Daphnia pulex: one gene and its partner. The protein of the gene in region 1 interacts with the protein of each later gene in a biochemical or structural test. Links are inferred from orthologs where the notes say so. Each region holds a gene or a part of one and is shown in the gene's direction. Other genes may lie near its edges. The genes, in order: leucine-rich repeat serine/threonine-protein kinase 1-like and eukaryotic translation initiation factor 4E-binding protein 1-like.

Region 1 (3,691 bases):
AGGGTAACCATCTTTGTTGTATGTCGGACTACAATGATCCGTTATAAAAAATTTTAAAAAATATGCGATGTCATAACTAGCGCATAGTTCAAAGCTAGCGTTTGGAACGATGGTGCTGCCACCTTGGTGGTTGGATATCTACGCAATTTTTTTCTAAAAGTTATAATTCCGCTAACACATTGTGATCATTAGTTTTTTTTTTCTTTTAGTTTAAAATACAAAAAATTGCAATGAAAATGAATACAGTATCAGCTGTGCACGAAAAATATAGATTGATGCTACGTCCGCACATCCCCTTATTTTTCAAAACCCTTTGACAAAAAAATCTAATTTTAACCTATATTAAAAGATTATCATAAAACAATTAAATCGGGAGTATGACCGTGGCAAGGTTTGTCCGTTTTAACGTGGAATTTCCAATATTTTTTTTTTCTAATGAACGCAATCATCCTCATAATTCCTCTCCAGATTGCAAAAGCTTTAGAGTATTTGCACCAACAACGAATCATCTACCGCGATCTCAAATCAGAAAATGTGCTAGTGTGGGCTTTACCTGGTCCCGGCGAAAGGGAAACGGACGCTAAAGTTGATGTAAAATTAGCCGACTATGGTATTTCCCGGCTTTCATTGCCTACCGGAGCTAAAGGTTGGACATATTTGATAAGTTATTTAAAGCTAAAAATTCAGACGAGAGATTTAAATTATGAAAGGTTTTGGAGGAACTGAAGGTTTCATGGCACCCGAAATAATGCGATTTAATGGCGAAGAAGAGTACACCGACAAAGTATACAAATTTGAATGTTTTCTTTTTCATTGAGTATTCATGATTAATGGATCGTTACAGGTGGATTGTTTCTCTTTTGGAATGTTTTTGTATGAGTTACTCACTTTGCGCCAACCTTTTGAAAGCCATGAATCGGTCAAAGAGTTCATATTGGAAGGGGGAAGGCCTTCGATCTCTCCTCGGGTGAGTTCCTTGTATTTATTTTAAAATTTTTTTATTGTTATGTTATTTTCTGCTATCTTTTAGGATGCAACGTATCCTGTGTATCTACTTGATCTAATGGTTTTGTGCTGGAGTCAACAACCAAAAGACAGACCGACTGCTTCCCAGATAGTATCTATCGCTTCAGCACCTGAATTTACTCACTTGTTGGATGTCGTCTCATTAAACCACAGTGGATTTTGCACGGACGGTGTTGCTGTCCCCGTACCCAACACCACAGATGAATCTCTTCATGAACTTTGGTTGAGCAGTACCGCTTGCCAGGTAATGTTACTGAAGTACTAGCATATTAATACATACGTTGTGGCTAATAGGAAAAAGCAATCTAGGTTGACCTTCTACTTGCATCAAGTCAGCCTCCCGAAATCGCAAACGGATGTGGTTCTTGGCTGGATTATTATTCTCTTCAAAGTGAAGTAGATCAGCCAATTACTGCTGCATGTCTTGTCGGTGATTCTGTGTGGCTTGGAGACGCTCGAGGACAAATTTTCTGTTTCAGGTATGATATCTCTAATATCACGTAAACTAATTTGTAATATTCAATTGATCTTTGAATCCTTTATTGAAATGTCTAGCACTCGGACATACCAATGTCTTTTCCGCTACGCCCTTGAACCAGATTCTTCTAGCACTGCGTCAATTCGACGACTTATACATCTACCTTTGTTACATCGAGTAGCTGTTGCCTTGGCTAATGGTCGTCTTTTTTTATGCCGCGATGATTTCATTCCGTTAATGTCGACGCAAGGTGAAGGAACATTCGTCATGACTGAACTCGGACTTGGTGGAAGTGGGGCACCACTCCACTGCATGGCTGCAATTTACTCCACTACCAAGGGGTAAATATACTGTGAATTATAATAAGAGGCAGTATATTTTCACTTAGTAATCTGCTATCACGATTCATATAGAAAAGTGGAGTTGTGGTGCGGACAATCACAGGGTAGCATATGCGTATTCGTTTTGGGAGAAGGCGTTGTAACGGGGCAAGAAGTGATAAATCATTACGATCCGGTCTTGCCTGGGTTGGAAGTGCTCCAAATGGTAGCTGTCGACAATTTGTTAATCGAAAACGATGTTGACGTCTTCGATTATGACGAAGAAACTCATTACGAAAATCTAGCAGAGACTACCAGTCCAGTAGTGTGGTCGTACGTTTATCCCGGGTGTGTCGTATATCGTTGGTGTGCAAATACTCGCCGTATTCTTCATCGTCTTGACTGTTCCAAACTTGGTTTGTTAACATTATTTTTGTTTATTTTTGTAGTATAAATAATTTTTCGTTTTCTTGAATCAGCCCCTTGTTCTGAATCACTACAGTCGATAAGCATTGAAGAGCATCTTAGTCCAGGACGATGTCAGGTACGGATTCATTAAAACATTTTTCGAACATTCGAAAAGTTTAACTTGGTTCGCTTGCATTCAGGTAACGAGTCTTGCCGTTCAAGGTCGGGAACTATACATAGGAACCACTTGGGGTTGCCTTATCGTGGCTGAAGCGTCATCCCTGCGTCCAATAACAGTGTTCCGCCCATATGAAGATGAAGTCCGTCTCATTCTTCCTCTTAGTTCTTATGACAGAGACAAAGAAAAACAGTCTGTACTAGTTGCAACAATTGGCAAAGGCTATCGAAATCTTTTGCATCGTTATGGATCTTGGTCACATCTTAAGAGTTCTTCAGCTCCTAGTATGTCAGAGCGACAGCGAAATATGCAAGTCCTCTTATGGAGAGCTGGTGACTGGATTTAAGTTCGAAACTAACTTCAATTTTCAGACAGACAGACAGATATTTCAAAATCATGTATTTACTTTTTTATTTATTTTTTAACCTTTGTTTCTCGATCAAACCGACGAAGCTATTCTTTTAAAAATTCGATTGTTTTCGATTAGTCAGTTATTGATACCACTTTGTAAAACTTCACCGTAAAATTTGTCTTTACATGTCATGATTTATTCCTGTGTATTCATTAGTAAATAAAACTTTGAAAGTCTGAAGTTATTTTTAAAACGACTGAGAACGACATTTTTATATAGTGGTTCGAGGTTGACACCTTGGATAGTCAAATTTCCCAGATTGGAGCAACCTCAAACATTGACACCATCCATAAGAAAAGTGTACGAATGGAAAGACAAAGGGAGAGTGAAAAAAAGAGGGACCGACCCCTTTCTTCCCTTCCTTGACTGTCCTTCCATTCGTACCCTCTTCCCGCCTCTTCCTATGGACAATATCAATGCCTCCGGTTTGAGGTTGCTCCAATCTGGGAAATCCGGTCATCCAAGATGGCAATCTCGAACCACTATATAGTCGTTCTGTGTAATGTGTATAGGATGTTAATTCTTTCACTAATTACGATTTACGAATACCGATCCAATTGATGATATGATTTTCGATAAAATCAAATTTTTTGATTGACCCAGTAGCGACAGACGGAGGAACCTATAACAGTCATTCTACACGAACTACAACGCGCAGAGCCAGTATGACGTTTCCAATCGCAAAACCCCGAAATTTTCTGGAAGCTATGCCGATGATAAGAAAAGAATTAACAATTATTCCACCACTCAAGGATCAAGGCCGGATTCGGGGATTTGGGGTGTTTTCATTTTTTGGGAAACGCTGACTAGGCATTGCAGCCAGTCCCCAAATAAACCATTTTATTCGGAATTTTTTAGAAAAACCGAAT
Region 2 (3,551 bases), on another chromosome or scaffold:
ATTTCTTCACAAACTGCCTTTTTTTCACGAGGTCTTATTTAGAAGCAGAAAGTACTTTTCAACTGTCAAGTTAATATCAAGAGTTCAATGTACAACCTTAGTTAATTATAGGCAAACACATATGTGGCACAAATATGTAGACTTACATTTAAGCAAATTGCTAACCCACTCAACACAAGCTGATCAAGATTTTTCACAAAAGCTAAGCATTCAGTACTTGACAATATAAATCAAGAGTTTTATGTACTACCCAAGTTAATTCTAAGCAAAGAACAAGCATATGTAGCACACTTATGTAGACTTAAATTCAAGCAAAATTCTAATTCTGTGGTTGTGTTTAATTACTAACTAACAAAAAACTTTTCACAAAAGCGGTCTTACATGGAAAACCGAAATAAGTTGTCACTTGTCTTCCGACATCAAGAACAAAATGCTAAAATGGTACTTAATTGCCTTTCGATTTAGCTTACAAGTACTTAATTACCTTTTTAAATTTCCTCTTTTCAACGTATTATTTGTCTTGCAAAACAGTAGAGACCCTCTCCATGACGAGGCAGCGATCACGTGCACGTAATGCAATGAAGAAGCTCACACCAGACTGTTAATAGAAAAATTAAAACTCAATTACTATCAGAAACAAAGTTTTAAACATGTAACACGTAAATTAATCACACGGCACACACAAAATTTTAATTTAGTAACCTTGTTGAAAAAAAAACAGGAATTACCATTGAAAAATGTGAGGAAAGAAAGTACCCCGCCATAACTCAATGGCTAAGGTAACCTTCTCGGACGGCGTCTTGAAGAAAAAGAAATGTGGAATGGAATATCGTCTCAAAAATTTGATGACCCCTTACCAATCCAGGGCTAAATAGTTAAATCCCTAAACACACTGAAATATTTAGCCACCTAGTGACATCCCTTAGCATTCACAGACGAGTAGGACGGAAAATAAACCAAAGTCCAAACATTCGTCATCTCCGTGAAATATATCGAAAAATTAACTAACAAGTGAGCTTTGTTGGTGGAATAGTTATCGTCAGTCACCACCAAAAAGTTACCACAAAACAACTGCCGATACATTTTGACAGGGATGTGCAAAGTAGCTGAAACTGACTAATTTGACATGTGGTTGAAATCATATTTCTTTTTTAAAGATTTCGGGATATTGAAACTAGATGGCGTAAAACATTCCTATCTCGGTTTGTTTCTGCGTATTGTGACTTATTGACTTTGTGAGTGAAGTTTTCCTCTTGAAAATGCATCAGTCTTCTATTTAAAAACTGTATAATGAAATTCTGATTCTCTAATCAAAGTTTTCTTCCATATTTCAACGTGGTTTCATGGTCTATTAACTGTCAGTTAATAGACCATAGTGGTTTTTATTGAAATACAAAGACAACGACAACATAATCTGGTATAATGTAAACAAGCGTTGTCGTCTGTCTGCTTCTTGTTTCTTCTGCTTGCCTTGGAAACTTGTTGCAGATCTGCTTGTTGTGAAACTTCAGTAATTTTCCAAATAGTATTGGCGTACATATAATTACTTCTATAAATCTTTTTATTTTATCCAAAAGAAAAATAAATAAGTCCATACAGACATATTTGTTATCATTTTATCGCTTAAAATATGTAATATGTAGTGCTCGTAAAAACTAGTAATCGATTTCCCTTGCGTAAAAAATCGAGTTATATCGTGCTGGACTTGCGACGTATTGCTCTCCAGTTTCGACGCACTTCCCAGTTGTAAATAATAGACTGAGTTTTAATTTTTCCAGATCACCTGCCATACGCCTTCTTCATTTATACGCCGTAAGTTGAGACACATGGTGTTAAGTAAGTTGTTGTCCTATGCATGACATTAAATATTTAGTTATAATGAGATTTTGGTAGTTTATTTTCGCATAGCAACACACCATATGTTTGATCGCCACGCGGTAGTTCATTATTTTGGTTATCACTATTTTTCTTTTTAGACTGCCAAAATGTCAGCGTCACCAATTGCTCGCCAGGCCGCTCAACCCCAAGGTCAAGCCATCCCAAGACGAATTCTCATCAATGATGCCAGTCAATTACCACATGATTACTCCAGTACACCCAATGGAACTCTGTATTCAACCACTCCTGGAGGTATTTAGGAATGGGTGTTATGATGTCTGGTGTGCCCTTATGACAGGCACAGCTGTGTGGTTTCTAAAATAACAGTTATTCTTTAGTTTTTTATTCTTGAGCTTATTCATCACACCTTTCGTTTCTTTAGGTACAAAGATTATCTATGATAGGAATTTCTTGCTGCAAATGCGCAATTCCCCTGTCGCCAGGACTCCACCCAAAAACTTGCCTGTAATTCCTGGTGTCACATGCGATAGTCCTCACAAAGAGAAGTCCAAGTTGATCAATGGGCAGAAAAATGTTACTGTACAGCACAAACCTGTGGAGCTTCCAACTGTTGAAATTGAAAAAGGTTTTTAAAAACTTCTTGTTTTATGAATTTATATCTAATAATACTTAATTCTATTGCAGTTGAAGACAAGAAACAGGAAGAACCTCAATTCGAAATGGATATTTGAATTTGTTTCAAGTACAAATCCAAATAATCTGTAGACTTCAATATTCTTTGAACTTGGTCAGCAAACAAGTTCTAAATCAAGATAAAGTGATGCAATTTTTCTGCTTGTAAGAAGCATTGAATTTTTTTTTCCCAGTTAACATGGTTGATTTTTATGACATTTCACTAGAACATCAAATTAGAGTGAAAAAGAAGTCATGGTTTATTTTCCCTTCTTGGTTCAAGGAGAAGTTTTTTTTTATGTGGGGGATTTGTTTTGTGCTTCAAATAAATTGATGGATACAGAACAAGTGTAAACGCGAATACAGACAAGACATACATACATTTAGTAGAACATTTCAAAGTAATTTAAGGGAAATATTTGAAATTTAATCAATAGTTCATGCTCACCCTCTCCCGGTACCCGACATAGCCGACCACCTTTCTGCAGGTGCAATAGATAATGGCCATTATTTCTTGAAGATTGGTGAGGTAGATTGCACTGAACATTTCAGAACAGCTTGCCAAGATTTCACAGAAAAATGAAAATTCCACTTCCCCTTATCCATAATACAGGAAAAAAAAGAAATACTAAATACCATCGAGAGATTTCGTCTATATACACACGCTTGAAGCTTTTAAATAGAATCCATATTGTTAACATAACAATGGTAAAAACAGAAGCTTTGTCGTTGCTTCGGAATACGTCGTCAATCCATCGCTTTCCTTTTTACTCCATGCTCCGGGAAAGGTTGAGTTGAATCTCCTCCATCAATTCCAGACGAATCGCTGGAATCAGAGGATGAGTCAGAATCGGACTCTACCTCTTCGTCTGGGTCATAGAAGAGTTCAGCACCAGGAAACAGGTATCGACCAGGTTGGACGGTGAGATAAGTGTTTTCTGAATTTTATGCAAGGAAATGCATATAGATGACATAGACAACAACCGAACAAAAATAAATTACCTGGGAGTTGATCGGCAAGATTCACTTTGATTCGCGGC

The links.
Region 2: of the proteins of leucine-rich repeat serine/threonine-protein kinase 1-like (region 1) and eukaryotic translation initiation factor 4E-binding protein 1-like, one has a biochemical effect on the other in vitro, tested with the Drosophila melanogaster proteins (2 studies listed by BioGRID). The link is inferred for Daphnia pulex from reciprocal best matches to the Drosophila melanogaster genes Lrrk and Thor.

The regions. Positions count from the first base shown.
Region 1 is NC_060026.1:7,733,321-7,737,011, reverse strand, and holds the end of leucine-rich repeat serine/threonine-protein kinase 1-like, read left to right. Parts: intron 1-468; coding exon 469-646; intron 647-710; coding exon 711-784; intron 785-844; coding exon 845-967; intron 968-1,030; coding exon 1,031-1,270; intron 1,271-1,335; coding exon 1,336-1,505; intron 1,506-1,581; coding exon 1,582-1,845; intron 1,846-1,917; coding exon 1,918-2,240; intron 2,241-2,303; coding exon 2,304-2,368; intron 2,369-2,432; coding exon 2,433-2,756; 3' UTR 2,757-3,002; downstream 3,003-3,691.
Region 2 is NC_060021.1:10,711,503-10,715,053, forward strand, and holds eukaryotic translation initiation factor 4E-binding protein 1-like, read left to right. Parts: upstream 1-1,652; 5' UTR 1,653-1,812; exon of another isoform or gene 1,813-1,836; intron 1,837-1,976; 5' UTR 1,977-1,985; coding exon 1,986-2,130; intron 2,131-2,260; coding exon 2,261-2,464; intron 2,465-2,523; coding exon 2,524-2,570; 3' UTR 2,571-2,907; downstream 2,908-3,551. Other genes in the region: NAD-dependent protein deacetylase sirtuin-1-like, read right to left, coding at 3,259-3,449, 3,514-3,551. UniProt on the Drosophila melanogaster protein: Repressor of translation initiation that regulates eIF4E1 activity by preventing its assembly into the eIF4F complex. Hypophosphorylated form competes with eIF4G1 and strongly binds to eIF4E1, leading to repress translation.